Schizosaccharomyces pombe: one gene and its partner. Changing the gene in region 2 together with the main gene of any one other region gives a genetic interaction. Each region holds a gene or a part of one and is shown on either strand. Other genes may lie near its edges.

What was found.
Region 1: of eng1 (region 2) and gea1, extra expression of one rescues a mutant of the other (dosage rescue), as found in Schizosaccharomyces pombe (one study listed by BioGRID).

Annotation. Positions count from the first base shown.
Region 1 is NC_003423.3:3,869,743-3,887,094, reverse strand, and holds gea1 (guanyl-nucleotide exchange factor), read left to right. Parts: upstream 1-7,174; 5' UTR 7,175-7,254; coding exon 7,255-11,643; 3' UTR 11,644-11,970; downstream 11,971-17,352. Other genes in the region: ubiquitin conjugating enzyme Ubc8, read left to right, coding at 529-1,083; gamma tubulin complex GCP4 subunit Gfh1, read right to left, coding at 1,429-3,162; sap10 (splicing factor 3B), read right to left, coding at 3,500-3,671, 3,727-3,809, 3,872-3,874; MCM complex subunit Mcm6, read left to right, coding at 4,099-6,777; protein Cwf3, read left to right, coding at 13,457-14,272, 14,331-15,887; rsm10 (mitochondrial 37S ribosomal protein uS10m), read right to left, coding at 16,050-16,656, 16,723-16,802.
Region 2 is NC_003424.3:996,762-1,012,952, forward strand, and holds eng1 (cell septum surface endo-1,3-beta-glucanase Eng1), read left to right. Parts: upstream 1-1,870; 5' UTR 1,871-2,191; coding exon 2,192-5,242; 3' UTR 5,243-5,600; downstream 5,601-16,191. Other genes in the region: ubiquitin ligase Slp1, read right to left, coding at 1-181; superoxide dismutase Sod1, read right to left, coding at 6,238-6,702; gamma-glutamyl phosphate reductase Pro1, read left to right, coding at 9,633-10,988; serine/threonine protein kinase Orb6, read left to right, coding at 11,678-11,820, 12,088-12,262, 12,308-13,399; dnf1 (P-type ATPase), read right to left, coding at 13,879-16,191. UniProt on the Schizosaccharomyces pombe protein: Cleaves internal linkages in 1,3-beta-glucan. Has a role in cell separation where it is required for the degradation of the primary septum after completion of cytokinesis.

The DNA of each region.
Region 1 (17,352 bases), on a different chromosome or scaffold from region 2:
GAACAAAACAAATGCTGAGATTTTATTAATACATATATTTGATACTAATTTATCAAGCTGCATTGAGACGAAAGCATCTTGGTAGTACTAGAATCATTGTTACTCACATACTGTTACCTGCTTCTTATAACCTCCAAATCAGCGAAATTCCGCGTCTTCATCATAGCCAAACTTATGCTCAATTGCCTCGTTTGTAAATTAAAATATATTTAACAATAAGAAGGACGATAAAGAGGGGATTCTTCTATACAATAAAATTGCTTTCATTTAAATTAGGTCATTGATGATTATTAGTTGTTGCTTTTAAAAATTTGATATATTCACGGACAATAGGATAGAACCATTTAAAACGGAAGCTAAGAATCTTTCCAAAAGTCCAAAATAATTTGATTTTATTGAAAATTACTCGAAAACTGCTGAATTTGCGAATTTGCCTTTATTGCAGCAAATTACCGTATTTGAATACTACACTAGCTTAAAATTATTGAGTTCTTTTTTAGTTTTGAAATAAAACTATAAAAAATCAAAATGTCGAGCCCAAGGCGCAGAATTGAGACGGACGTTATGAAGCTGCTGATGAGTGATTACGAGGTAACTCTTGTCAATGATAATATGCAAGAATTTTACGTTAGGTTCCATGGACCGTCTGAAACCCCTTACTCAGGTGGAATATGGAAAGTTCATGTTGAACTGCCAAGTGAGTATCCTTGGAAATCTCCAAGTATTGGATTTGTAAATCGTATATTTCATCCCAATATCGATGAGCTTAGTGGAAGTGTTTGCTTGGACGTGATAAATCAAACTTGGTCTCCAATGTTTGATATGATTAATATTTTTGAGGTTTTTCTTCCACAGCTACTCCGTTATCCTAATGCGTCGGACCCTCTAAATGGAGAGGCAGCAGCTCTATTATTGCGAGAGCCGAATACCTACTATGCCAAGGTTCGAGATTATATCGCTCGGTATGCTAATAAAGAAGACGCTGATATAACTTTGAACGACTCTTCAGATGATGACACCATGTCTTCTATTGACACTGAATCTGGCGATGAAATTGCTGGTCCAATGGACTCTGATTTTTAAATTTCGTTACGTTGCTTTGTTTGATATACATTGATTCTTTTTTGAATTCTCTTTATGGATACTGATTGTGGCATTCAATAAACCGATGGATAGCTAAATCTGTTACACTTTTTTTTCTATTGATGCATTGAATGATTCTTTTTGCATGCTGTCGCTTGCAAAACCCGTTTGAATTTGCTTTCAATCAGTAGTCGTGACAACGATATTTAATAGGTTTATTTTCTTGAAGCTTCAAGTTACTGCAGCATAATTTACGACTATAACTCCATGATGCATAGTTAATGAGAACTAATATTTAAATAAAATAGAAAAAAAATATTAAATAAATACATTGATCATATCTACCTATAAATTAAGCTGAACAATCAGCGCGTTAATTATTTCCCTATCATACGATGGATCATTTTCTTTCTGTCGTATGCATTCAATCGAATGAGATACGTGAGCAGCTAACTGACAGTCAACTTTCGAAACTTCTTGACTACGAAATAAAGAAAGCTCATGGTAAATCGAGTTTAAAGAAATGTGTAAATCATCATCGTAAAAAAACAACATTTTCTTAGCGTAAGTCAACGTTAAAGCATGCAATTGAGAACAGTCTTGCATACGTAACTTTTGTGTTCTATATAACTCAGTAAGAGATTCCCGTAATTTACAATATGACGGCTTTATAACACATTCGTAGGCATAATATTGTAAAGATGATAAGAACCATAAAGTCACCCACAATTGAGTCCATGGTTGAGAAATACCTTTGGCAGTATACTCCTTTCTTTCGTAAAAAAGGGATTTGATTTTAGTTATACTTAAGTGTAAAGAACCTAGTAGTATCCATAAATCGGAATACACATTTAAAGCATTTTTATCCATAAACAAATTGAACGGCCATTTTAAACACAATAACAGTTGCATATTGAGTCCCTCTACATCGATTTTACGATTCTCAGAGCGAATCATTTCATCTTCTTCATCAAAGATACTTACAAGTTTTAGAAAAGATACACATTCTCCATATTCAGTAGCGAGATCAAGTAAAGAAATAGTTTTCCTTAAAACAACGGGTAAAATATCATCAATTACTACCCCTTGAACGTCATTTGAACTGCAATATTCACCACGAACGTCTCTGAACATTTCAGATAATGTTGGAAGAAACTCAACATTTTCAAGTAACATCACCATCTCTAGCATTTTTACCAAATCGAAAATCTGATGAAACGAAGCTAATTGAAATATTATTTTTTCTGATACCAGAGTGAACATTTCATCTGCTAATTTTGTCACTGAAGATTTCGTTAAAGGCAAAGGCATTTCATATACCAGTCTGTAGAAACATCTAAGAATTTCACAGAAAGCGTCTGTGAAACATTTTTTTGCATTGAGCATACACGTTCGTATTGAAACTAAGCAATTAACGATGTCTTGGGTCAAAAAAGGGACATTATTGCTACAAGATACAAAATCTTTAGTATCACCGCATAAAAACGAACATTTGAAGCTGTCATCGCCGGAATCATTTACCAAATACTGCACTAATTCGTCAAGCCAAGTCTTCTGAAAAGCACATTCACACTCTAAAACCAGCTTTTTAAAATTCAAATGAGTAGAGCCCATATACATATTATGCAGCTTTTGAAACGTAGAAGCTACACTCAAGCATTGAGAAATATTACCTTGAAGTACTAGCAGACTAGATAAAGTTTCTTTCCAATCTGCTAAATGCGCTTCTAATTGCGCCAAGGATACGAATTTTCCGGAACCTACAAAATAAGGATCGCTGGATATAATCATCCGCTCTAAATTAGCTAGACTTTCATCATAAAGAAATAATTTTTTCGAAAGCAGAAGTCTAAGAGCTTTAAGAAGAAACTGGTTTTGCTGAATCAAATCTTCATCAAAAATTTCAATATATCGTTCTATCCTTTTCCTTTTACTTGCCAAAGATACTATGTCATTAATTAATTCTCGTTCACCAGGGTGTAATGGTTGAACAGATGGATGCAGTAGTATTTGACCATTTTTCTCAATAAACAGGCCAGAAGTATTCCCTGCGAGCAACAAAATAATCTCATGCAACATATAATGTATTTATTGTTACAGAGTTTGCATGAAAATATTCAACATATAGCCAATTTAAGTAAACTACTCCAAAGGAGGCTTTCGTAGTAAATGAGATAAATAGCTAAAACTTATTCGTGTTACTTTGAAGGTAACGACTAGGGAATGTCTTGCGTTGTTACAATGAACAATAATCAATGTAGCATTGCATATAATTCAATTAATATATATATATATATATATATATATATATTATTTTGTAATAACCTAGTAGGTACTGTTTATCTTAAACAAACAAAGTCTCAGACGAGCGAAGGTTTAACGACATTAATTTTGGGCAACAGGTAAACACAACACTTTAAAATTGATTAGAAGGGGGAGGTGGTCCACATGGCATGATCATTTTTTCTAATAGGTTTTTGCGAACTTGGACTCTCGGTTCGCCGAGCGCCGTTGCCATATATGCGAGCAACGGTGGATGCCCCACTACAGAAGACAAAGTATCCCGGTGCTGATTTACCATCCATTCACTAGTTTATATGGTGAGCGAAAATTCATTTGTCAAATAAACCGATTAGTACTTACTATTTGGTGGTAAACGCATTACCGACACCAACATAACGCGCTTGTAACTGTTCTAGTTTTGCTTGAGAGCGCAACCTGTCTGCCTACAATCGTTAATAAATGAAAGAAGCATAGAATAGAGATAATTCAAGAATTTTTTTCTTACCATAGTATATATTGGAATATGTGGTATAATGTTCAGACTGGGTTTTTTTAACACATATTGTTAATTGAAACGAATAAGGTATAATACTGTAATTTGCAATTCTAAATTGCGATTTCTAGCGCACCAAAGCAACCACAGAAATAAACGTTTCAAAATAAACATTGCTATCCTTTGACCAAAAACCTGTAGTTGCAGTTTTTTGATAATAGGGAGCACTACACTTGAAGATGTCTTCTCTTGCATCTCAGGGTAATAATGCTTCAACTCCTGCATATCGTTATGGGTTTCAAACTTCAGAAGTTGGGGACAGGCCAACTGTAAGTATGCCTTCACAACCTGAGTCGAGTGCTATGCTCGAGGATGATGGAATGGTGAAAAGGAAACCTTTTGCTGCTATAGGAGAAGCCATACCAAAGGTAATTGATACAACCGGAGAATCAGTACGTGAAGCCTTTGAAGAGTTTTTATTGTCATTTTCTGATGACCGCGTTGCTGGAGGTGATGCTCTCCCTTCTGCATCACAAGAGAAATATTATGTTCAACAGATTCATGGATTGGCAATGTATGAGATTCATACCGTTTACGTTGATTATAAGCATTTAACCTCGTACAATGATGTGTTAGCTCTTGCGATAGTTGAGCAATATTATCGATTTTCTCCTTTCTTACTTCGAGCTTTACAAAAGTTGATTGAAAAGTTTGAACCAGAATATTATAGAAGTTCTCTTTCTCGTGAAAATGCTTCACTTTCACCGAACTTTAAAGCCAGTGACAAAACATTTGCTCTTGCATTTTACAATTTACCCTTTCGATCCACAATTCGGGACTTACGAACAGATCGTATCGGTAGACTCACGACTATTACAGGTACAGTTACTCGTACTTCTGAAGTACGCCCTGAATTAGCACAAGGTACTTTTATCTGTGAGGAATGCCACACTGTAGTTTCAAATGTTGAGCAAGCATTTCGCTATACTGAACCAACTCAATGCCCTAATGAACTTTGTGCTAATAAAAGAAGTTGGCGGCTCAATATTTCACAGTCTTCTTTTCAGGACTGGCAAAAGGTGCGCATTCAAGAAAATAGCAACGAGATTCCTACGGGTTCTATGCCACGAACTTTGGACGTAATTTTGCGCGGAGATATTGTTGAAAGGGCTAAGGCTGGTGACAAATGCGCATTTACGGGAATTCTTATTGCCGTTCCAGATGTCTCACAGCTAGGAATTCCTGGTGTAAAGCCAGAAGCTTATCGAGATTCTCGCAATTTTGGTGGTAGAGATGCAGATGGTGTGACAGGACTGAAGTCTTTAGGTGTACGTGATCTTACATATAAACTATCTTTTTTAGCTTGCATGGTTCAACCAGATGATGCAAATGATAAAAGCGGTGCGGATGTCAGAGGGGATGGTTCTCAAGGGATCGAAGAGCAAGATGAATTTTTGCAATCGCTTTCTCAAGAAGAAATTGATGATTTACGTGCGATGGTGCATTCAGATCATATTTATTCTCGTTTGACAAACTCACTGGCTCCCTCTGTTTATGGTCATGAAATAATTAAGAAGGGGATTCTTTTACAGTTAATGGGTGGTGTTCACAAGTTAACTCCTGAAGGTATAAATCTTCGTGGCGACCTGAACATTTGTATTGTCGGCGACCCCAGTACTTCGAAATCACAATTTCTTAAATACGTTTGCAATTTTCTTCCTCGTGCAATCTACACTTCTGGAAAGGCATCATCTGCGGCCGGTCTCACAGCTGCAGTTGTTAAGGACGAAGAAACTGGGGATTTTACTATAGAAGCAGGCGCTTTAATGTTGGCTGACAATGGAATATGTGCTATAGATGAATTCGATAAAATGGATCTGTCAGACCAAGTTGCTATTCATGAAGCAATGGAACAACAAACGATATCTATAGCAAAAGCTGGAATTCAAGCTACATTAAACGCACGGACATCTATCCTTGCTGCTGCAAATCCAATAGGTGGCCGCTATAACCGAAAAACAACTTTGCGGAATAACATCAATATGTCTGCTCCTATCATGTCACGGTTTGATTTATTCTTCGTTGTACTAGATGAGTGCAATGAATCAGTTGATAGACATTTAGCTAAGCATATTGTTGACATTCATCGTTTACGGGATGATGCCATGCAACCTGAATTTAGTACTGAGCAACTTCAACGATATATCAGATATGCAAGGACTTTCAAACCAAAGTTAAATACAGAATCTTGTGCCGAAATTGTTAAAAAGTACAAGCAATTGCGGATGGATGACGCGCAAGGTGCTGGTAAAAATTCATATCGTATTACCGTGCGACAACTGGAGTCAATGATTCGTCTATCAGAAGCCATTGCAAGAGCAAACTGTGTAGATGATATTACTCCTGCATTTGTCAACGAAGCATACTCTTTATTACGTCAATCAATTATCCATGTGGAAAGAGATGATATTGAGGTTGAAGAAGATGATGCAGAGGCCCAAGAACTTGAGAATGATAATACTAATACAACAAATGGCAATGATAATGTTTCTTCGGAAGAAGCTTTGCAGAAACCAAAAGTAAAAATTACTTACGACAAATATGTTTCGATTATGAACGGAATATTACAGGTTTTACGCCAGCGCTCTACTGAAGGTGTAGATGGAGTACCAGCGGGAGACCTAGTTCAGTCATATCTCGAGCTTAGGGAAGACCAATTCCATACCGAGGAAGACATCATCTATGAGGTTGGTCTTGTGCGTAAGGTATTAACCAGGCTTGTTCACGAATCGATCATCATGGAAATTCAAAATTTAACTGACAGCGCCGTGAGGCTTCCTTTTGAAGAACGCGTATTTTCAATACACCCTAACTGTGACATTGATGCTCTACTGAGCAATGGCGATGTTCCGAACTAAGGTTATAAAAGATTCGTAACGATCTCTTATAAGTTTTATCAGTGAGGCGTATTTTTGAAACAGACCTGACATTAATTGTTGAAGCACTACTTTAATTCACGAAATTGGTGTATTTTTTTTTTCCTCACTGCATACCGTAGAAACCCTGATTTGTTATTTTAATCTTTACACTCTTTTTTTGTACTTTTATTCACTAAATTTGATAATACTATTGGATCCTACCGAAAAATATATACTCATTTTCCTGATCTAGACATTTATCAGATTAATCTATGTTTATTTCAAACATATAACCCAGGTAAATTAGTATAGTGATACGTTAAGCAATGTTAATATGTTGAAGCATATCTGCTGAAATCCGTTCAACACCAAAGGAAGGGTGAGACTGTTCAGGACTAAACCTCTACGCTATTTACAATAGTAAACACCTCAAGTTACTTTTTATAAAGACTCTTGATTAGTAGCTACAGAAGGGCTATGGAAGTGCCTCGCGCATCTCCTAACCAAGAGCCGTTATGTTCGATTTCACCGTCCTCCTTGGTGATCAATGAAATTATAACTGTCGTGACGGCAATTAGAAAAACCACGAGATGGAGGAATTCTGGTGTTGCATCCATTTTAGGAGTCTCAACACTTAAAGACGAATTTCTGGCTGATGGTTTAGAAAGCCGATGGAAAACAAATGGCGAAAAAAGCAGTAGTATCCGATATCCATTGGTTATGGAGTTTTCACAGTTAAAAGAAGATTTGACGAACCGTGCTAGCTTAAATGGATACGATAGTTTAAAGCTTCTCTCTCCGTTTTTGAGGACAATCAAGTCCCCACGAATGACAGGTTATATAACTAGCTTATGTTTATCAGCTATACTCAAATTCTTTTCTTTTCGAATCATTTCTGAAGAATCACCCAATTTAGCACTGTCAATGCGTAATCTATCGTTTGCTATTACTCAATGCCGTTTTGAGAGCTTCGATGCTTCACAGGATGAGGCTGTATTGTTGCGAGTTTCTAGGCTAATGGAAGAATTGTTAAGAGGTCCTGGAAAAGCTGTTTTGAGTGATGATTCTATTTGCGAAATTGTTGAAACAGGGCTCAGTATGTGTTGCCAGTCTAGGCTTTCCCAAGTTTTACGCTATAGTGCTGAATTATCGATGACATCTATCCTTGAAAAGATATTTGAACGCTTGAAGTACATTGATGTGAAAACGGATAGTGAAGATTTTTGGGACGCATCCGAAGAACACTCTATCAAAGGAGAGGAGTTCCATTACAAAAAAATCACCGAAGGCGATGAGATTTCAAATGAAATCGATCCCTTCGGTATTGGTTCTATTCGCGAAGTTTTTCGTGTACTAGTTTCCTTTATTGACTTTGGCAAGCAAAAGTTTTCTGATAATATTAAAGCCATGGCATTGAGATTTATAAACACAGCCTTAGAGGTCTCTGGTTCACATATTAGCGATTTTCCTTCGCTTCGAGTACTCATCACTGATACTTTATGCAAATCACTTCTACAGCTCATTCGTAGTGATCATACAGCTTTGCTGACAAATTCCTTGCTTGTAATGACTACTTTACTTCAAGCAATGCCCGGCTCTCTTAAATTGCAGCAAGAGTTATTTATCTCTTATTTAATATCTTGTCTCCATATACCTTCAACCACACCTCGTGAACGTAATGTTGAAACATCTTTGCACAAGGTAGTTTCTTCGTTAGACCTGAGTGAGGAGATTAGTCCAGATCGTGCCACACCAACTTCGTTTACTGAGAGAAAAAGATTTGCTTTCGACACGAGAAATAGACCTCCTGAAGTTCGTGAGCTTATCGTTGAATGTCTCGGATCTTTATCCCGCATCCCTTATTTTTTGATAGACTTGTATGTCAATTATGATTGTGACCCTCAAATGTCAGACCTTGCCATTGATCTGCTGAAAGTTTTGACAAGAAATTGCCTTGTTGACTCTGCTCGCTATTCAACTGCTAATGTACCACCACTTTGCCTCGACGCTCTTTTAAATTTCATTTACTATTTTCATGAGCATTTACAACCTTGTTATAATGACCCCAATAATACTTTCAAAGATGATGTCGCTAAGACATTAATCGAATCAAAAAAGAGAAAAGCAATTATTATTGAAGGTGCCGAGTTATTTAATGAATCCCCTTCAGATGGTATTGCCTTTTTAACTCAGCATTCTATCATCAAGCAATCCGACAATCCTACTTGTATTGTTGAATTCTTCCATTCTACTAATCGTCTTAGCAAGCGAGTTTTAGGAGAGTTTCTGACCAAAGGTTCCAATTCTCATATTTTAAATGCTTTTATAAGTGCATTCGATTTTAAAGGAAAGAGAATTGATGAAGCGTTACGACTTTTACTTCAGTCGTTTCGTTTACCTGGAGAATCTCAATTGATAGAAAGAGTTTTAGAAACATTTTCTCATTATTACATGAGTGCGAATCCTGATTCCATGTCCTCAAAAGATGCCGCGTTTGTCCTTTCCTACTCAATAATTATGCTAAATACCGACCAGCATAACCCAAACATCAAATCTCAACGTCGAATGACTTTAGATGATTTTTGCCGTAACGTACGCGGTGTAAATGATGGGCAGGATTTTGATCGAAATTTTTTGTCTGAAATTTACAAAGCAATAAAAGAAAATGAAATAATTGTTGCCGAAGAGCATGACACTGAGCTTTCATTTTTATATATTTGGTCAAAGTTACAGCAGAGCGTGAAAATAACTGAGCCATTCAAGCGTTCGAGTTCTAACGTGCATGATAAAATTGTTTTTCTTGAAGTTTGGAAATCGATAATGGCCGCTTTAATATACGTGTTTTCTACTGCGACAGAAGATACTGTATTCTATAGGGTTGTCAATGGAATTCAGCAAGCTACGGAAGTGGCTGCAGCATATGAATTGAACGAACCGGTTGATTATGCTATTGAGCGCTTTTGTCAATTTACTGCGCTCGATCCTTCTTCTGTGCCAGGTACTCAATTAAATACTGCTATTAAAGTGGAAGACCGTATTATTACAGTTAGTGAATTAAGTGTACGTTTTGGAAGGGATTTTCGTGCTCAATTGGCTCTTCTGGTTCTCTTTTGGATAAGTAGTAAGTTTGGTAATATCATAGACGCAAGCTGGCCCTTGTTGGTTCAGCTCACCATTTGTCTAGCCCGAAATAACCTAATTGATAATTCGTTTTTACCTGGTTTCAAGCTGTTTGGGTATCAATGGTTTCCATTTCCTGAACCTCCGTTGAATTCTGGGAAACCCGCGTTAAGCAAAGAAGGAGGTTTATTGTCAGCATTATCTTCATATTTATCAAGTTATGCAAATGATGAACCTCCTTGTCCAACAGATGAAGAAATTCAACATACTTTATGTACTATTGATTGCATCTCTTCTGCTAAAATTGACAATTTCTTAACTAAATTGGTCGATCTCAAGCAACCCGGATTAAACAAACTTCTGGACTCTCTTCTTAGTCTATCAAATCCGTCGACTAGCCTTCTGACTGATGAAAACACAGTGGATGATAACAAAGTTTCGTCTGTAGAAGCACTCAGTAACATCCAGTCTGCAATAGTAGCTGATCTGCTGACATCGTTATTTTTGGGAACTAGAGAATCACTCAACAAATTGGAAAGAAGAACCCAAATTTTGTCATATCTTCTATTTCAAATTGAACAATCTGGGGATGAGAAAGTTATCAACCAACTCTCTCTATATATCTTCGAGATGTTCATGGATGACGACTTGAAGTTAAGCGAGAACTCAGAAGACTGGGGTTTATTCAGTAAGCTGTGCAATCTTTTGAACGATAAAAATATTGTTGTCAGAAATCAGAGCTTATCACTTTTTCATCAGTTGGTAAACAAGTACCCCTTTCTACTTGAAAGTTGGATAGGACTCCAGCTTGTCCAATCCGCTGTTAATACAAATACAGCAGATATTGATGATTTATATAGGCTGCTTAGCAAAATCCCTACTAATTTACTTGATCTTCCAATGTTTCAAGTATATTTAGGTTGCGTTGATACGCTAATTCAGACTATTGTGAAACAAATCGCGCAGATTTTGTCAAAGCAAAAAAAGGGAGCTTCAAAAGGGCTTCCGTTTGATAAGTCTATACTTGATAACCATAGTGCAGAATTGAACGATGCATTTAATTTATTTTTAAAAGCAGCAGTTGAGTACAAGGTTGACTCCAATGAAAGTTCTGAACATTTTCAAGATACAAGATGGAAAATTATTTACGATCATGTTTGTAAGCTTTGCCTCTCGCGAAGTCGTTCTTTAAGAGCAGCATCTTTGTCATGTTTGCAGCGAATAGTCGTGGAACAGTTAGATCAGCCTCACGAAGTTAGTTATACTATGGCTCTCTTCCACCTGGTGCTTCTTCCAACTATGGAAAACATGATCACTGTTTTAACCGAGAAACCAGAGCATAAAATATTCGGTCTAGCGCAAGCCCAAATGTTTAATATAATTTGCAAAACTGTGCTGATTGATATGAATGTGTTGTCAGCCCAAAAGGAGATGCTGCATACATTATGGCTAAAGTTAATGGACGTGGCCATAAAATTAAGTTCAATCCATGGTTCAGAGTCTATGGCTGAGGTAATGGAATCTATCAAGAATGTTTTTATGATTTTACACGGTGCTGGAGCACTCGCAGGACCCACTATTGAGGTCGATCCAGAAATTCCTGATCATCTGATAAAAACTTGGAATACTACATGGAATAACCTTTTCATATACTATCCAGAATTATCAAATGACTTAAATATCAACAACGAAGCCGAAATGAAGAAAGAAAACCTAAAAAATCCCTCACAAACGACTACTGTTTAGTTTTATCCTCTTCAATTTTTCTCATTCTTTATGGATTTAAAGGGACTATCATTTTTCCATATATGCTCATTGAAGCCTAGACTATCAAAAAGTATAGGGCGATTAGAAAGCCTGACAACTAAGTGCATACAGCAATTCTGTTACTGCTACCAAAATTTTTTAGTTTGATACAGTATCTTATACTCACCTAAGTGAGATATTCAAGGTTACGCAGCGAAATATATCTAAAACTAAACGTCACAAATCGAAAATGCATCGATTCTTTCTCTCTTTATTATATTAAGATATATAATTTTTTACAAGATACAAAAATCTAATTGGAAATGTAATCGAAATTAAACTGATTGTAAACATTCAATAATTTTCTCTAAATATTGTGATGCTGCCTCCGCATTTTCTATCATGAGTTAAGAACTATCTAACGGCCAAAATATTTGGATATGTATTATAAATTATAAGCTTTAAAACTTTAAACACACTATCTTTTATACCGAGGTCTGACAGTTTTTTGTTAATAAAAACAGTCACAATGTGCTATTAAAGCACCAACAAAACATTTAGTTTCGTTGTGCTGGTGATATCGCACAAGTTAAGTGAAAAGGGATATTTTGCTTAACTTGCTACGATATTGCTAGTTAGATATCTTTTTGAATGGTATGTGCAAATTTTTTTTTTTTTAAATATGTTTTGAGTTGATGATGATCATTTCTGTTCCTAGTAGGGCATTCGATGCGGACACTTTTGTATTTTAGGAATTCTTCGTTGCTGAACTAACTCAATAATTTTGAAAGCCTAATTCGATTACTATTAATTACTAACTTCTTAGGTATGTTTATTGAGTCTGTGTTAAGATTGCTAAGATGATTATACTTTACCCCTTTCTGTTGGTGATAATCAATGATCCTCAGAAAACATGCATCACCGAATGAACATAGCACGTCTCAGCCATTAATTTCGTAATTATTAATGTTTTTATATTAACTAATTTAGATTAATTGATTTTAGCTGTTTTTTACCGAAGCATTTACTAAAGCCATTTACATGTATGATGATACTTAATTTTCAGTTCTGCTTCTGAGAAAAGCTTGAAGACAACCTGATACCAAGAAACTCTCTATTATCTGATTGTGTTAATAGGCTTACTGCATTTGCTTGTGTTTTGAAATAGATAAATCAAATATATATGTTCGTGTATTAATTTGGAGTTTGTCTTAGTATTGATTGTTTCTTTGTTTATAGTATATATTGCAAACAATTAGTCAAGGATTTAGGCATTTCGATGTGATTTTTGTAAGCTGATTATATGTACAATTAGTGTTTTTGCCGCTCCTAATTAGTGATAACTAGTTTGAATACTCGTTAATTTTTATGACCAAAAGTCACATTAGCACCACTATTAGCTTTATATCTACCAGGTGAAGCGATTTTGCGTTTCGTATAAATATAATTTGAATATAGCAATCAATGAATAAATTCGAAGTACAGAAGAGGTTTACTGATAAGGGTAGTTAAATAGCAGAAGGTCGTTATGGATAGTGATTTACAACAAATGAAATAGAAATCGAAGGGCTGTATTTTGTAGCTCTGATTTATCAACATACTTTGGCTTAATTCCCTAGAGGTGGGCATATAGACAGTCTTTTAATTCTGTAATTTATTTGTTTTATATCTTATAAGCAATGTGCTTTCTCAATTAAGTTTCATCTTATGGGGTTAAAATTGAACTTCATATTTTTCACTTGCCCAAGGTCTATTGTATGCACGACAACAGCCTACATCGGGCTTCTTTAGAAAACAATCAAAAGGATTAGAAATGGGAGATGTTATTCCACTGAAAGTTAATTTTGATCTAATTAATGTTGATGACGAGCCGTTTGAGCTTGAATTGCTACGTGATCCATATTCTCTGAAAAGTTGGTTACGATATATAAAGACCCATGAAGGATCTACTTTGGAAAAGCGTGTGCTTTTATTTGAAAGAGCTTGTTCAGAACTCCCGGGAAGCTATAAAATATGGAAAAGCTATTTGGAACTACGTGTAGCGCATGTTGAACATTTGAACCCATATTTTCATGCCGAAGCTTTTGCTTCTGTAAACGATTGTTTTGAGCGCTCTTTGATTTTATTGCATAAAATGCCTGTTATTTGGAAACTATATTTACAATTTTTGATGAAACAACCAAATGTCACTAAGATTCGTTGTACATTTAACTCTGCACTTCGCGCCTTACCGGTAACTCAGCACGATGATATTTGGGACATGTTTACGAAATATGCTGAAGATATTGGAGGATTATTTTGCATCCATGTCTACCGCAGATATATACAAGTAGAACCAAGAGCAATTGAAAACTACATTGAGATACTTTGTAAATTAGGGCTGTGGAATGAAGCTGCTCGACAATATGAGGATATTTTAAATCGGCCCGTGTTTTTATCAGCAAAAAGGAAGAGCAATTATCAGATATGGCTCGAGTTTTCCGAGTTAGTTGTTCAGCATCCTGACCATACGCAAAACATAGACGTAGAAAAGGTTTTTAGAGCTGGCATTAAAAGGTTTTCTGATCAAGCAGGGAAACTATGGACTTATTTGGCACAATATTATATACGCATTGGTGACTACGAGAAGGTATGTTTAACTGGTTTGTTTATTGACCCCTTATTGCAAAAACTAACTTATCGTACAGGCAAGAAGCACATTCTATGAAGGGATGAATAACATAATGACTGTAAGAAATTTTACAATTATATTCGATGCTTTTGTTGAATTCGAAGAGCAATGGCTATCTGCACGAGTTGAAGCAAGCAGCGGAAATGCAAATGACGAATTAAGTATCGATTTTCATATGGCCTGGCTCGAGAAAATACTTGACAAACGTCCGCTTTATATCAATGATGTATTATTAAGGCAAAATATAAATAACGTTGACGAATGGCTTCGCCGAGTCAAGTTTTTAGAAGACGACAGCGAAAAAGTTGTTCAAGTTTACACAGACGCTATAAAAAATGTAAATCCAAAGCTGGCGCATGGCTCCCTCGGCAAATTGTTTTCAGAGTTTGCTCGTTTTTATGAAAATTTTGATGATTTAGAACAATCAAGGATAATTTTTGAAAAGGCTACTCATGTACCATATAAAACAGTCAATGAGTTAGCACAAGTTTGGATTGACTGGGCCGAGATGGAACTTCGACATCAAAATTTTGACGCTGCGAGAAAATTAATAGGAGATGCCGTTCATGCTCCTAGAAAAAGTCATATCAGCTTTTTTGATGAATCACTCAGTCCACAAGTACGGCTACACAAGTCATCTAAGATATGGATGTATTATCTTGATCTTGAGGAAAGCGTTGGTACGATTGAAACTACACGCAAATTGTACGACCGCGTCTTTGAACTAAAAATTGCTACTCCCCAGGTGGTTGTCAATTATGCAAATCTCTTAGAGGAGAATGCTTATTTTGAAGATTCATTTAAAATTTATGAGAGAGGTGTTGCGTTATTTAGTTATCCCGTGGCTTTTGAACTTTGGAATTTATATTTAACAAAATTTGTTAAACGATATCAAGGAACGCATATGGAAAGGACCAGGGATTTATTTGAACAAGCATTAGAAGGATGTCCGCCCGAATTTTCGAAAAGTATTTATCTTCTGTATGCCGATTTCGAAGAAAAGTTTGGCAAAGCAAAAAGATCCATTTCTATTTTAGAAAAAGCGGCCGACAAGGTTAAAACAGCAGACCGTCTTGCTATTTACAATGTGTTACTCGTTAAAGTGGCATTAAATTATGGTGTACTGGCGACAAGGACAGTTTATGAGAAGGCTATTGAATCCCTGAGTGACTCAGAAGTCAAAGATATGTGCTTAAGGTTTGCTGAAATGGAGACGAAACTTGGTGAAATCGATCGTGCTCGTTTAATATATATTCATGGAAGTCAATACTGTGATCCAAGAGTTGAAACGGATTATTGGAAAGCATGGCAAGAATTTGAAATAAGGTACGGAAATCCAGAAGAAACAGTTAAAGAAATGCTTCGTATTAAACGGTCTGTACAAACTAAGTTTAGCACTGATTCCCTTCATATAGCGAAGAGAGCAGCTAAAATTGAAAGTGCAGCAGCACCAATGGATCCAATGGAACAGCTTGAAATGGAAAAATCTGAAGGACCTAAGGCACTTGCGGGTTTTGTTCTTTCGAAAAGCAATCCCCAAGAAACTTCAAAAATTACTGGTGAGGAAAACTAACGAAACAAGTGTGGACTATTCGTAACGTTTTTAGTTAAAGAACACTTTTAATGAAGAAAAGCTAGTGTCATATTGTTAAAAAAAAAAGTACGAATACAGTCAGAGTATTTTTGCTAATAAACGGTCCAACATCAGAGTAATTGAAAACACATTAGTTAATTTTTATTTTCGAGATGAATTTTTTAACAAATCTTTGTAAATGGGGTCGTTTCTGAGCAATTTTTCGGCATTTTGTGTGATTATATCTTTTTTCGAAGGACCGTTTAACAATTCTTTGAAATTATCAGTAGACTTAGACTGTGACTCGAAGTTTTTAAGGGCATCATCGATGGATTCGTATTCATAAGCTTTTGCTTGCAATTTTAAATCCCACATGTTGCATTTTCGTAAATAACTAAAAAACGTTTCTAAAGTAACTGGATTGACACTGTACAGTTGTATAAGTCGAGAGTGCGTAATACGTTCAAAATTCTCCTGAGAAGATTTGTGAATAAAAGGTGATCGGAGTAAAGTCCAGCTTTCTACTTTGTTGGGTAATGGACGTGGACCCTTGATTGGAATTTTCATGTAATACGCTGTTCGACAAATGAAGTCGGTAAACGTATCAAGTTTTGGAGTTTCAAAGCTTTTAATTTTTAGAGAAGCACAAAGTACGTCGTTTTCAGAAGGATTGAATTTAACAGGGTTCAAATATACAGCTGCAACGTTGGAAGGAAGCTGTTGAAAAAATGGATTCTCAAAAAGTTGATCCTTTTCGCTGTTCCCTTTGCTAATAAATTGGGGTTAGAATGTACAAAATTATAGCTTAAATTAGAGGAAAGGATTGAATACATACGGTGATTCTTTGCCAATAGCTGTCTGGAAACAACGTTTCGGTTGCACGCGAGGTAATGTACCAAACATATACCGTTTCATGATTAATATTTTAGCCGGTTACTTAAAATACTTGTTAAGAAAACCACAAGAACAAAATTCCAACAATTAAACACTGTAAAGGTGTTTTTTTTTAACAAAATTTTTTGGTTGGAGTGGGGAGTAATGGTCGAGCTACACTTGTCATCCACCATCATATTCAGTTTAACACAATTATCGTAGGACTAAGGGGTTATTAATCAATGTTTTAATTGAACATAAACAAGCGGAGCGAAATCATTTTAAATGTCGTTCGCGCGTGAATACCTTGAAAAACACGTAGATGGTAACATTTATTTTAAAAAAGCAATATCATTCTGTAATTTATACTATGATGGAACGATCTAACTATAAATTTTTTATTTGCATTTGAAGGTCAAAGTTTAGAATTCAAAGGTGGGTGTGATTGTACTGTACTAAAAATATTATTGATGCACCATAGTGAAGAAAACCAAAAAAATTCGATTAAACATGAATATTTGTGATTATAAGGCTTTCAGCACAATTTAAAATTGACCAGTATGATGAGAGTTCTCAGTCAGCAATGAGATGT
Region 2 (16,191 bases):
TTGGTGAGTTTCTGATAAAAGAAGATTTAGGGGAGCAACGCTTGGAAGAACGACCGTTACGGCCTAAAAGTGCCTGCTGATGCAGGGGAGTTATAGGGCTGTTAGGGAAGACTAAGTTCCTTTTCTTTGTGGGTGTTGAAAATGTAGGCGATATGGTTGAAGAATTACCTGCTATCTCCATTTTGATTAACTCGCTCAAAATATATATGTAAAAGAAAAATAATGCAAGAAGCGAATATCAAAGGACAGAAACGTATCCAAAACTTTGAATAAAACTTCTAATGAATTAGAAATAAAGTGGATTTCAATTTCTTTTTGTTGTAGAAAAGATGAAAGAGAAAAAGAAAAGCGAAGAAAGAAAAGACTTTTTAAAAATTCAATAGGTAAGCTATATAATAATGTAACGTTAGTAGCAAAAAGAATTCAACTTTTTTGAAAGCCTTTATTAATTTTTTAAGCTTTGTTGTTGCTGTTTTTTTTTTTAGAGAAAAGAAAGTGCGCTAACAAATAAAGGACTATTAGGTTTCGTAAACAAATCGTAGAAGGAGAAACGAACGTCTTCAAGAATTAATCGATTTTAAGCAAATGAATGACTTTATGATGACCGGCACCACAGCGCATTAATTAATATTTTTGAATAATTGGATAAAAGAATGAGTCGAGTGCTAATATAGCAAGCAATGCAATGCAATGAAATAATATGTGAAGGAGAACCTGCTCAAAGAAATAATCTATTAACTGTATAAGGAAGAGATACCAGTCTTTTCCTTAAGACAAACAATATAGGACCAGCCTAATATATCAAAGAAAAAGGATCCGAAGATACTAAAACTTTGTAACGTTGAAATTCAAAGTGTTTAGATGATTTGTTTACAATAAATTCAGGACCACAGCGTTTAGTATATAAATGCTCTGAATACCCTAACCCTTGGTTACTATGGCTACCACGTGTAAATAAACAAGAGTGAACAATATTTACAGCTTATGGTAATGCTGCGCGTACAGTTGAGGTAAATATAACAACAAACTCTTGATAAACAATGTATTTTCTACTTTTATACTAAATATATTTAAATTCTACTGCATGTTTGTTTTCATTTCTCATCAACCCCCCAGTTTAAATCTGCTAAAATTTGTAACGCATTTCAACAATCTATCCCGTATTCCAACCACCCATCTTTAGCAAAGCGAGTGTTTTGTGTTGTTGCTTTGCTACACGCTACCTTACTAAACAACTGGACACTTTCCAAACAATATGTTGCCTGTACCTATTTTTGTAAAATTTCTGTATTTAGCAATCTATTGAAAAGTGATTTTTTACTATTTGGTTATTTAATAGGTATCCTGAACCCTCACGAATCACCAAGCATTTTTCAATTCAAATTACATAAATATATTTACTCCCATGTTCCACTGTCAAGAAATTAAATTTTCGCGAGCGCGTTTTTAATAAGTAGCTCTTGGCGAAATGCTTGTATTTGGAAAATCTACTGATACTTACTACTCCTGAATATTATTTCAAGTACTATCTAGATACCAATTGTTTTATCCCACGCGTTTCTACTTTTCGAAAGCCACCGGACGCCAAAATATTTAACTACCTAGCTACTTAACGTCATTTTGAAGAGTATCATACAATCAAATAACGCCAAAGTAATGTTTCAAGTTGTGTTGTTTACATTTGCTTATGTATAAACAGTTTTTCTTAAAAAGGGCTGGCTGTTAAGACATCCAGATTTCCGCCGACCACCCACATTTGTCCTCTTTATGGTAAATATGGCTGGACATGCTAAGAAAAAGGACATGATGGCTGTCCAAGTTTCCAAATTTGGAATAATATAAAGTATCAAGGTTCGCTTTTCTAATTACTATAACCTAAGTAAGACACAACCTCCTTATTGATTGTAAACAATCGGGAAATCTTGAAACCCAAGTGATACCTAATCTGGAAAACTTAAGAATTTACTAATCCATATCCACTTAACTATCATAATAACATTGGATATTGGAGTCTAATAAATCCTTAAGCAGCTTCTTCTTAATTATTGTATTACCTTTTTGATTTCCTCATTCTTTGTTTCATTTTTTTTTGTTACTTTAGCAATTTTAGTTTAAATCTTTTATTTTCTCTGTCTTTCCTTTTAGTCATTTTTGGTTTGCTATCTTTTCACTTACTTTATTGTTAGGAACTATGAGTTCCTATTTACGTTCTTTTATATTTGGTCTTTTGACCATAAGTTTGGCACAATGCTCGCCAATCCTTAAGGATACCAAGGATACCAAATTTTCCACAGGCTCTAATATTAGCTTAAAAAAACGTGATACCAATGTTTTCGACTCTGTTGTTGATACTATCAACCCAGCCAGTTATTTCGGCACCGTTTCGCACCCAGTTACTCCTGCCGGCGTCAGTACTGACAGCTTGAGCTCCCCTATTGAAACTAACAAATTTTTTGATAATAATTTACTTGGTTCTCGTACTAATTTCATGTATGCTGATCCCTTCAGATATTGGTGGCAGTCTTCAGACACGATGGGTGGCATTTGTATTGCTCATACCGATGACAATCAACGTGTAATGGATACGGACGATACAATCCCTTCCTATTATTATGAACCCATCGGTATTTGTTCGCTCGGATTTGGTGCTTCTGGTATTACCTCTAATACTGACCCAATTGTCGACGAGATTGATCAGATGTCTGCTCGCTTTACTTTCTCTTGGGACTCTTCGTCTATGCAACTTACTTTGACTGAGGGTATGGCCGTTACTACTGCTGTCTACACTAATGCTATTCCTCAAATTTTTTCATCCACTCTTTATATCAATGACTTTGTCGAAGTGCCGGGTACTTCTGCTGTTCAAAAGTATCGTGTCACGATGTCTGATAACCACGTTTGGCTTATTTACATTTATGGGGATAGCCTTACGTTGACTGAATCCACATCTCAAATGCTTGTTGGAAGCAACACTTTCAATGGTTACATTCAAATCGCGAAAATTCCTCTTGGAGATGGCACCGCTGAAGCTCTTTATGACACTTATGCGGGTGTCTATATTACCGGTATTAGTATTTCCGGATATGTTGAGGATGCTGTTGGTTATTACTCGTTTGATTTTACGACTGCTGGGGATACTTCAGTAGAGCCTCTATTTTTCTTATTGCCTCATCAAGTGGATACAGCTGTCAGTGGTACCAAAGTTACATCCATTGTTTTGGCTTCTCTAGTAAGTGGTGATATGAATGCCGCAGCTGGAAACTCTATAACATTCGCCGAAGCTATTCCTCAGGACATTGGTTTTCTTCCATGGTCGCCGACAGGTGGTCAGATTGGTTATTCGGAAGAAGCATTAGAGATCATCGCTGAGGTTGCTGGTACTGAATTGGGCGAAGACTTCTCTGCCAACTCTAATTTGAATTCAATGTACTATTCTGGCAAAGTTTTGGCTAAGTATGCAATGCTGTGTGTTACAATTAATGATATTCTTGGTGATGAGACCAGCAGCGAACAATGTATTCAAAAACTAGAGGCTGCTTTTGCCCGTTTTGTTGACAATCAGCAAATTTACCCTCTGACTTATGATAACACTTGGAAAGGAGTTGTCAGTGTAGCTGGTCTATCTGGTGATTCCTTGGCTGATTTTGGTAACAGCTACTATAATGATCACCATTTCCATTATGGTTATTTTGTTTTCACTGCTGCTGTAATTGGTCATATTGATCCTGACTGGATTAACACTGGGAACAATAAGGAATGGGTTAACTTTCTAGTTCGTGATGTTGCCAATCCATCATCAAATGATCCTTACTTTCCAAAGCACCGAATGATTGATATTTATCATGGTCATGGTTGGGCATCTGGTTTGTTTGAGTCTAATGATGGCAAGGATGAAGAATCAACGTCCGAAGATTATAACTTCTTTTTCGGTATGAAACTTTGGGGTCAAGTAATTGGCGATTCTGATATGGAGGATCGCGCAAACATTATTTTGGGCATTGAAAGAAATGCTTTGAATAAGTACATGCTGTATGCTGATGGAAACGTCCAGCCCACTTCTATGCAACCTAATTATGTTGCCGGTATTACATTCATGAACAAAATTACTCACACTACCTATTTTGGTACTAATATTGAGTACATCCAAGGAATTCATATGTTGCCTATCACTCCAATTTCAGCTTTTATCCGTGGTCCTAGCTTTGTACTAGCTGAATGGAATGCCTTACTTGCTAGTGTCATTGACTATGTAGATAGCGGTTGGAGAAGTCTTTTATATGCTAATCTAGCTATTGCTGAACCTGAAGAAAGTTATGAATATTTCTCCAGTTCTGATTTTAATACCGATTACTTAGATGACGGGGCCTCTCGTGCCTGGTATTTGGCTTATGCCGCTGGCTTATGGGCTAATGATGCCGTTTATTATCCTGTTAGCTCTTCTTCTACCACCACGACCTCTACGAGTACCGGAAGTGTTACGACAACCTCTACTACTGCAACTGCCAGTTGTACACTACCTATATCCTATACTTCGACTCCTACTACTACAAGCATCTCTGGTACTTGTAATGGTGCTACGTTTGATGCAAGTTTGTATGTATGCGACGGAACTGTACTCTGCCCTATTGTTAATGGTGTATCATATCAAAACTGCAACGGAGCTTGCTATAACCCTTCGCAATATGGCTGCGACAATGGAGCTTTGGGCCCTGTTCAATCTTCATCGACCACTTCCTCCATTACGCCTACTCCCACAACTACTTCCTCAATAACACCCACACCTACTACAACTTCAACAACTACTACCGCACAGTCAACTGGCATGCAACTATGTGGCTCTAACTACTACGACGCATCCTCTTATTATTGTGACAATGATCAGTTATGTCCTATAATAGACGGAGTGGATTACTTGAGTTGTAATGGTGCATGCTATAATCCTTCCCAATATGTTTGTTCTGATGGTTCTTTGTCTCCAAACACTGTTACAACAACAAAAGCTACTACAACTTTCACACCTACACCTACCACAACTACTACACCTACACCTACTACTACATCTGCTACATCCACTAATGTGATAGCCCAATGTGGATCAGCTTGGTATGATTCACAAAGTTATATTTGTTATGGCAATATACTGTGTCCCATTATAAATGGGTCTCCATTGTTAGCTTGTGGTAATGCGTGCTATGACTCCTCTATATACGGTTGCTCCAATGGTGCACTTGTTGCTGCTTAAGCATGACCAAAGTCCGGAATTGTATTGCGAGGTGCTTTTTTGGATTTCTTCAGATGTACTATACTTATTGCTTGTATGTTTTCAAACTATTTAAAAAACTACATTTTGTTCATAATACACGTCTGGAACGTGAACTACTCTCAACTTGAAACCCTTTTTGGATATCGTCTAGGCCGGCTTAGAGATCAATTTATTAAAATTATTCTTGCTGAGTTTTTCTTTTTTGCATCTTTTTGAATTAGTTGGTTATTATTTAACCACTTATTTTATTAATTGTTCACACTGGATGTGAACCTTTAGACTTATAGAATAAAATTTATTTTAAAATACAACTTGTGCAGATGTTTTCAGTTTACACAAACTTGCCTGTCGTTATTGTTTAGTTGAAATTAGTTCGTAAAAATTCATTGATACGTAAAAGTAATAACAAAATCAACAAAGATGAAACGATGGTATTATGATTAATAAAAAAAAAGGCTTCACCCATTAGAATTTTAACAAGATGTGTTGATATTGCTACTATGTGTGTATCTATTAATCAACATTCTATATATCTTTTTTTAAACAATACGAAAAGCACTTTCTATCATCTTTATGCACGAACTCAACGATGCAAAACAAAGTTTTCTGACTAAAAGATCAAAAATTGTTGCTGCTTTTGCTTCTTCATTATCAATACCGAAACAAAGTTACAACAATTCCTTCTAATTAACTGAATTTTATGTAAACTCGAACGCAGAGTCTTAAGGACAAAAATACATCACTACATTTTTTTACACATATAACATAATAGTAACAAACAGCTTCCACAAAGCTACAGTACTTATCATCATCAATTAAATTAAGTTTTTTAATACAGAACCTATAGAAGCATAATATACGGAACTTTTCATAAAAAAAAAGAAATTTGAGATCACTCAACTAAATGATAACAATACTAACCAACACCTAAACCCACAGCCATTTGAACAAAAAGACGTAAAAACTCAATAAATTTAGACGGCAATACCAATGACACCACAAGCGTTACGTGCACCAGCGTTACCAGTCTTCAAAGACTCTTCACTAGTACCCTTACCAAGATCATCCTCACCGGCATGAATGACAATGGTACGGCCAATGATGCTGTTGGCACCAAACAATGAGATAACAGAATCAGAGAAAGTAGTCTTGATGTTGCCCTGAGCATCGCTTTCCAAGTTACCAAGATCACCAACGTGACGAACAGCGGCGGTACGGTCACCGTGAGTCTTACCCTCTGGGTTAAAGTGAGGACCAGCAGAGGTACAACCGTTGGTATTATCACCGAATTGGTGAATATGGAAACCACGCTTGGCATTAGCGTCATTGCCAACGAGATCCACAATCACAGAAACTTGAGAGTTTTGATCGACTTGTTCAAAAGTAACGACACCACTGACCTTAGAGTCACCACGAAGAACTGCTACAGCTCTAACCATTTTGTATGACGATAATTTACTTTAAAAAAATACAACAAGAGAAGGGGTGTTTTGAGTAATTAAGTGTTTTGAAGGAAAATCAATAAGATTTTAACCACACTTCAAAGTTGGAGATTTCGAAAATTTTGTTTGGAATTGGAAGAGGATAGGGCGGCGTGTCATCGCTTATATAGTAAATAGCTCCACGCGGAATATACATGAAATTTTAACGATATCAACTCAAATCAATTTTTCGATATGACCAATGTTTTTTTATATTCTAAAAACGAAGAAATTGTCTTTATACTTATCGATTTAACAAATTTGCTTTACAAAGCATTGTCTAGTCCGTGCCTTCGAGCCTCCAAAATAGGCCAATAAGCTACGCCGAGCATCACCTCAGCTTGGCGTTGGCTTACTCCACCAGTATTCGTAATCATATTACGTGCTCCTTCGCGGAATTGAAATTCCGCTAAAGATGATAACGCGCCACTCGAAGAATAAATAACGATATCTAAAGTTGCGGTAATAGCAATCGTCGTTCTCGTTTTCGTAGACGTTAAAACATTTAGCGTAAGGTAAGAATGACCACGTTGAAGTAAGGTCGCTAATGGGGGTAAAGATCTTCAAAGAAAGGGAAACTTGAGTAGACAAACATTGCATAGAGATTCAAATGCATAGACTAGCTAAAATATCAAACCCCCATTTGGTTCAGTAAATCCCACTAGAGTTCGCAGAATAAAAGTCCTACATGTATATAGATTAGCGTTTTGAGTCTAGGTGTGAAGAGCCTAAGGCCGGTCGGTAGACTTGCAAAGCCCGTTCGTTCACGGAAGTTGTTAGGAGCAATCGCTTGTAACAGTCAAATTGTTATGAAGCTTCAATCGACGTGAGGAGGATAATAAAATTCGCTCTAGAAAGAAATATTCGTGAACTCATAATTTTCCCATAATGAACAAACCTCTCAGTATGCATTTTTGAGAAAGAATCGCAAGTACAACTGCTGATAATATCATTGAGCTTTTAAAAAATAAAATAACATAACCATAGTAATGCTTTGTACTAGGAAGCGAGTGACACTATGGTTATTTTGGAGTTAAAAAAAATCCTGATGATCTGTTTTGCAAATACGTTAATCGCTTCTATCCATCGATCTACCTACATATTATTTTGGTAGAAAACAGAAAAAGTTCTCTGAGGGGGACGCTGTTTATATAAGAAATTTGCCAAGATGTATAAAGTATTATGCCGAAAACAGTAATTACCTTGAGCTACTTATTTTATATGACTTATTTTTGCTATTCGTGAAGTAGCAATATGAGACTATTTTGCTAGTGCGCGAAAGAAATGGCTCATTACAAAAAATAGCGTTTCGCATAATACTAAAGGCGGTATATTCCTAAATACAATTCTCTTAATCATTCTACCGTAATTGGGTACATTACGATATGTCAGCAATACTACACTACGCTATGATACACTACGTTGCGTATCACTATATGTCATATGTTGGAATACTAGCTAAGATCCGTTTATTGATAATCACGGGTAACTATCCGTCTATATACATAGATACCCGTTGATAACAACTATTTAGAAATATTATAAATAGCGTTACAACTGAACCTCGTTCCTCAGTTCAGTTATGAGCTATATTAGTGATAGGTAACATTATAGCCCAGTTAATACAATACCTATACTCAGTTGCTACTTATACAACCTGTGTATTGTAATATAATAGACCACAAGGAAAACTCACCGCAGTTCTTCGTATCCTTAAATCAGATACCAAACTGCGTAGCTTACACGATACACTTAATAACGCATATCCTCAAAATACTTTAACTCTTGGCAATGGGATTGATGAGTAGAATGTGTGCGATTTATGCTCATGATTTGTACAACTTGACTTTGGAGAGGTAGTCAAGAATTTTCTGTTAGTGTATGGAAAAACCTTGATGTGATTCACTGCTGTACAATCAAGCATAGCTACAGAGCCTTAAATATGTTGTTATTGAAAGTAAACAAATGAAATACTATACACCCAGATTAATAATTTATCGATTTTTTTTGAAGCAAAGTATTTCTTTCTGATTCTATAAATTGTCGACTTGGGGGACAATTGTGAAACTGTAAGGCAAGATGAACTTTGCAAATATGGAATTAAATTCAAAGTAATTGCGTTCAAATTAAAAAAAAAGTACTATATTAATGAACAGTTTGATCAGCCATTGTAAACAATTCAATTACAACCGTTAGCGATACTCTATATTGAAGGATGTTTTCCCGAAAAGATGAACAAACAATTTTGTTTGTTGAGCTGTGCATTTCAACTAGAAGCATCTTTAATTTGAATTAAAAACAACTAGATCAAATTGATTCAGTAATAACTGGACACCATGCTAATAAATGTTTTTGCTTTTACGATATGACTATAATTTATTCATGAGAAATACGAAGTGTGTAATAATCCAAATTCTCTATGGAATATACAAAGCACACTTTAAAATTAGTATCTTTGTATTTCTTAACCGAAGATACCCAGTTGCTCATTTTTTAGTCTTTTGTTTACAAGCATAATTCTTGCACTACGTGAAAAGTGAAAAGTAAGGCTACTATATATAGTAACGGAAAAACAAAAACTGAAAATATAACACTAACTGTTCTTGAGGTTGCAAAATATTTTTAGTTAACTGCAGAAGTACTCTCACTTTCCATGATTTCGTATCTTTCAGAAATCTTAGTTATGCTTAATGTAAAGTAACAATGCTTGATTTTGTTACTTGAAGGGTGTTAAATAAATCACGAACTTGCATTATTCATACATTAGAAAAAACAACCAAAATACTACAAAAAGTAGTCTTTTTGAGCTAGCCATTCTAAGAATAAGAATTCGCTTGATTTAAATCTCCCAATTGCCTCTACTCAAAGTTGTATAAGTATTGTTTAGCATGTCTCTTGAAGAGAATGTAAAGGAAGCGAAAAACGCTTTTAACATTTTACAGACATTATCAGTGGAAGACCGTGATGATGCATTGGATAAAATAGTTGAAGAACTGCGCATAAAAAAGTCAGAGGTTCTAGCTGCAAATGCTGAAGATATGAAAGCAGCTAAGCTCTTGGCTGAATCAGGAAAACTAAGTTCATCGATGGTTAAAAGATTGGATCTGTCTTCATCTGATAAATACGATTCCATGGTACAGGGTGTTTTAGATGTTAAAAGTTTGCCTGATCCCCTTGGTCGTGTTACTTATGCTCGTAGTCTTGACGATGGTTTGGACCTTTATAAAGTCTCTTGCCCTGTAGGTTTATTGCTAGTCATTTTTGAAGCTAGACCTGAAGTAATCATTAATATTACTTCCCTGGCTATCAAATCTGGTAATGCTGTTGTACTTAAAGGAGGCACGGAATCAGCAAAGTCTTTCGCTGCACTTTCTAATGTTGTTCGCTCTGCCTTGGGCAAAAGTAAGGTTCCACAGGCTGCTGTGCAGCTTGTTCAGAGTCGCGAGGAGGTATCACAATTATTAAAATTGGATGAGTACATAGATTTGGTTATTCCCCGCGGCAGCACTAATCTTGTACGCCATATAAAAGATAACACAAAAATTCCTGTTTTAGGTCATGCTGCAGGACTATGCTCCATGTACGTCCATGAGGATGCTGATATGGAATTGGCTAGTAAACTTGTTCTGGATGGAAAAACTGATTATCCAGCAGCATGTAATGCAATTGAAACTTTGTTAATTAACGAAGCTGTTTTATCTTCTCATCTTCCTAAAATTGCTGAAACTTTAACTGAAGCAAAAGTTACATTAAAATGTGATCCCGCTTCTCTTAAGGTTTTAAAGGATATGCCAAAAGTTAGTGCTCTAGTTGAACCATCTGTCGATCAAGATTACAACACTGAATTCTCTGATTTGATTCTTGCTATTAAGACTGTACCTTCCTTACAGTCCGCAATGCAGCATATAAATACACATGGTTCTAAACACACGGATTGCATTATCACTTCTAGTGAAGCAGCTGCTAACAGATTCATGGCTGGAATTGATGCTTCTGGTGTGTATTGGAATGCTTCAACCAGATTTGCCGATGGTTTTCGTTATGGTTACGGTACCGAAGTTGGCATCAGCACCAACAAAATTCATGCTCGAGGACCAATGGGTCTTGATGGGTTAACTATTTACAAGTACCAACTTAGAGGAAATGGTCAAGTTGCAAGTAGTTATGGAGTTGGACCTGGCAAACGCGCATTTAAACATACCCCTATTAATATAGACAATATTTCTCAGGTTTCGAAAAAATAAACACAAAAAAGATTTGAAAATTATGTGAAATTGTCAACGTTTTGGCTAGCTGCATTTTGGATACAAATCGGTTAGGCTTTTTTTGTTTACTTGTTTGTCTATAATATTTAAATGGGAGTTTCAATAATGTGAAGTTATTAAATGAAGAGTAAACACCAAATTAAATAGATAACTATTCCTGTAGAGTTCGATCCACCACCTTTAGTTTTTATTACACAAATATTTTTATGGTGAAGAACGAATTGATGTCTCCGTCCGTCTTTTTTGACTATTCATTTCAATTCAGATTCTAAAATCTTCGTAAGCTAAGATTCTTGGCTTCAGTTAGTAGCGTCGTAATATTGAACAGGGAGGGTTAGGAAATGCGCGGAGCTTATCGCAAGCGATCGTTGAAGTTATATAACAAACTGCAGAAGTACTTGCTTTTCCAGTATCGCAGTTTAACATATTTTTATCGGATTATACCTTAGCTGGCAGTAGTCCTATAATTAAAAAAGCATAATAGGACTTGTCATTTACCATATCCGATTTATCACTGTCTCATTTCTGTTTTGCATGTCTTGTTAATTCATGTTTTAAGCGATTGAATTTCAATCTTTTAACAATTTCTTTTTGTTAATTAATTCGTTGACCTTGTAGTTGATTCTAATTAGTGTAAAAATTCCATTTATTGCAACATTTCTTTCAATATGGATAAGAATGATTACTTACACTTTGAACGGAACCCTTCATTATTTCCGAAATCAACTTTAGACAAAGTCCAAAAGACAAAGAAATATATTGAACATTATTACAAGGTGGCAGTTGATCATGCTGTAGAGCGCAACCAAAGGTACGAGTAGCATTACTATTCAGGGTTCTAGCATTGTTTCACATTCCTCAATTAGTATTCCCATCTTATACGTTGATCGGATAAGTATCAAAGACGATGCTTTTATTAATTCTTTCTCCGTTCTCAACTTCGCGTGTTGCAGTAAATGCATAATCTCGAATGTTTATAAAATCTTAGACAGCTTACTCATCTTGTTTCGAAAATGTTAATTAATAATGCTAGCTTCCGTTTAATTTACTTTTAGGTATAAATACTAATTCTCTTTAGACGTATCAATTTGGAGCAACGATTAGCAACCGAAAGGGGTTCTGAGGAGAGAAAGAATAGGCAGTTAAGAGCATCTGGTGAAAAAGAGTCTCAATTTCTTCGATTTCGTCGTACACGGCTTTCTTTAGAAGATTTTTCTACCATCAAAGTTATTGGGAAAGGTGCATTTGGCGAGGTACGTTTGCATAATTGTTTATGTTTTTGGTATCTAATTAAATAGGTTCGGTTGGTTCAGAAACTCGATACGGGTAAAATCTATGCCATGAAATCTTTGCTTAAAACTGAAATGTTCAAACGTGACCAGCTGGCTCATGTCAAAGCAGAACGCGACTTATTAGTTGAATCTGACTCCCCATGGGTGGTGTCATTGTATTATGCTTTTCAAGATTCACTGTATCTTTACTTGATTATGGAGTTTTTACCAGGCGGTGATTTGATGACCATGCTAATAAATTATGATACTTTTTCAGAAGACGTTACTCGCTTCTACATGGCTGAGTGCGTTTTGGCTATAGCTGATGTTCATCGAATGGGTTATATTCATCGGGATATAAAACCGGATAACATACTGATTGACCGGGATGGCCATATAAAACTTTCTGATTTCGGACTTTCCACTGGTTTTTACAAGCAAGATCAGAGTGCCTCTTACATGAAACCTCGCACAGGAAATACTGTCAAACGTGGTCAAATGGTAGATGCTATCTGGCTTACAATGTCTTCCAAGGACAAAATGGCTACTTGGAAAAAGAACCGTAGGGTGATGGCCTATAGCACTGTGGGTACTCCTGATTATATCGCTCCAGAAATTTTCTTGCAACAAGGGTATGGTCAAGATTGTGATTGGTGGAGTTTAGGCGCTATCATGTTCGAGTGCTTAATTGGATGGCCTCCCTTTTGCAGTGAAAACTCTCATGAAACTTATCGAAAAATCATCAATTGGCGTGAGACTCTGACTTTCCCAAATGATATACATTTAAGCATAGAAGCTCGTGATTTGATGGACCGACTTATGACAGATTCAGAACACAGATTAGGTCGTGGCGGTGCTATTGAAATAATGCAACATCCTTTCTTTACTGGAATCGATTGGGATCATATACGAGAAACTGCAGCTCCATTTATTCCGAATTTGAAATCTATTACCGATACACATTATTTCCCTGTTGATGAGCTTGAACAAGTTCCTGAACAACCTGTCACACAACAACCTGCTTCTGTTGACCCTCAGACGTTGGAACAAACCAATCTGGCATTCCTTGGGTACACTTACAAAAAATTCAATTATTTAACGATGAAAGGAGCATTGTAAGACTTCTGCAAGAAACTCCATAGCTACTTTGTTCATTGTCCTTTGAGCATCTAACTATTGTTATCGAATTTTTTTTATCGTTAATTCATGTTTACCTTCTTTTACATTATTTTAGCATAACTAATAATATTACCAATTACTTTTTTTTAATGTTGTCCCTACTGATAAAATCTTACATGCACTTCTGTAAATATTAAATTCGTTGCATAAGAATTCCAAATTAATGCATAGATTTTATTAGGGAAAAGATAAAAAAGAGTGAGTAAAAAACATGTATTAATAAGTACAACAGGATGTTAACGCCAAGAAAACCAACCAAAATAGTAAACAATAATTATGAAATGCGGATCATGACCCATAACTAATAGACAATTTCTAATTGAACAGTGGGAACCCCAGAATTTTAACATTTTACCAGTAAACTGACTATCGTCTAAAGAAAGTTTCATATACTAGAATTGGATTAATGAATTAAATGCCTAATCTCGGCTTTTTAAATATTGTTCAATTTCATCGACAGATGGTGCATTGGCTTGTAAAAACTCACCGCTCTCTTGCTCAAACCGAGAGCGGACAAAGGCATCGTTTTCCATTTCCACAAATATGTCGGTGTCCGTAGGACGTAAAGTCCTTCGTAACATTTGGGCAACAATATCAATTGTTAAAGCACAAACCATTACAAAAAGCATAGTAAGCCACCATGAAGGATTTTTGCCAAAATGATGGAGAAACTGTGATCTAGCAAGATATAAATTCTTGTCCGGATAATGCTCGCTTATAAAGATATTAAATAAAAACCAAGCCAAGGACGTTAAAACAAGTACTATTATAGAAATGATGTTTATGTATTGCATCTCTATAAAGACCAATTTGAAATTCATGATAAAAATAGCAGCAGTAAAAATGAGTTGACCATAAGCGAAGATATTGTTGTCATTAAGTTCCTTCATTCCAAATAAACTATACGTAACATAGAAAACTAAGAAAGCTTGAATGAAGGCTATTGAACACCACCCAAAATACACTCGCCAATTGAATGCTTCATTGTTGATTCCCTTTTGATAAAGCTCCGGGACAGCGATTACGGTACTAGCACTTAAGTCTTTTTCAAAAATACCCAGCCCAATAACACATAACGAAGAAAATAGTGTATTAAAGCAAGTAAGTCCCCAGCTTTCGTAAAGGCTCTGCCCTGTGTAGCCAACAAAAGGTTGCATGATAGCTTGCATCAAAAAGAAAAACTGTTCTTTATAGAAGGTACCGAGAATATACTTTGATAATCTAACATAGCTCCATCGGCCATGACAGAATAATAACTTAATTAGGAATTTAAATCGACCTATCGAAAAATCCGATGATCTAGCAGCTTGAAGACCCTCACGACCAGCAATTCCAATACCAACATGGGCTTCTTGAATCATAGCAATGTCATTAGCACCATCGCCAATAGCTAAAGTGACAGCCTTTTCGAGAGTATTACGCACTTTTTGAACCATTAACGCCTTTTGCATGGGACTTGACCGACAACAAATAACAGAGTCCGCTTCAACGGCAGTATTTATGAATAATAAAAACAGTTCAGGATCATTCTCTATATCGGCAAGAGTACTGCCATCTATCACAATAACCAGATGAGCTAAGGAGTTACTGTGAATAGCATTCATGCAAGATATAAGCTGATGAATCATCAAAGAAGCTGGATCATTAGTAGGAGGTCGATCTAATGACAGCCTTTGACCACCACTGACAGTTTCATCACTTCCTTCGACTCCATCCAGAGAGCCCATGACAACAACAGTTGAATATTCTTTTATTACGCCACAAGAATGACCAATATTGATTGCTGTTTCCTTTTTATCACCAGTTAGCATCCAGAATTTGATGCCCGCTCGGAAAAGTGAATTGATTGATTCTGGAACACCAACTTGCAATTTATCTTCAATTGCCGTAGCTCCCGCAAATTCTAAATCTTTTTCAATAAGGTCTGCAGCTTCATCTAAAAGTTGTTGCCTGTTGGATAGACTGTTTAACGCCGCATCATTCACCAACTTCCAAGACTGATACTCGCTTTCGTCAATGAAACGATGGGCATACATAAGGGTTCGTAGACCATCAGTTGCAAATGCATGAACATGCTCGAAAGTGTTTTCAAAAAGTTTGGCATCATTGTGGTTTAAGGATTCATATATTGATCCCTCAGCTTCTTCTTGTTTTGATAGATACTTTTTATCTTCCATCAGACGTTCACCGCCTGCTAATGAATGACGTCCAACAGCTGGTCGACGCCGGGTTTCAAGAATACTGGTGCTAGCACGGGGACGAACTACACCCATTTTCTCACGCCTTTCATCGAGCCAAGAAGTGACGTTGTTAATATAATCATTTCTGCGCCGAGACAAACTAGGTCTTGAAGCCGTTAAACTTGGCCTCGAAGTGCTCTGGCTATTCCGAATAATCGCCTTGTCTATTTCAATGCTTTTACGAGCCTGTTCAGCTTTGGTTACTGATTTGTCCTTCCGTTTGGCGAGGTTGGAAAGACGAAGTCGCTTTATGATCGCTGAATCTGCTCCTTTACAAAACAAACATATCCTTCCGTTAGGCATGCGTACGATAACAGACATACATTTCCGTTTGCTCGTAAATTCGATAATGTTCAGTATTCGGTATGTTTTGGCAATCGGGTGAGAGTGTGGGTCCAATGGATAATGCAATCGGATTGTCAAGCTGTCAATGTCTCTATCAATAACAATGTAACCTAGCTGTTGAGCTGCATGCACAAGAGCCAACTCATC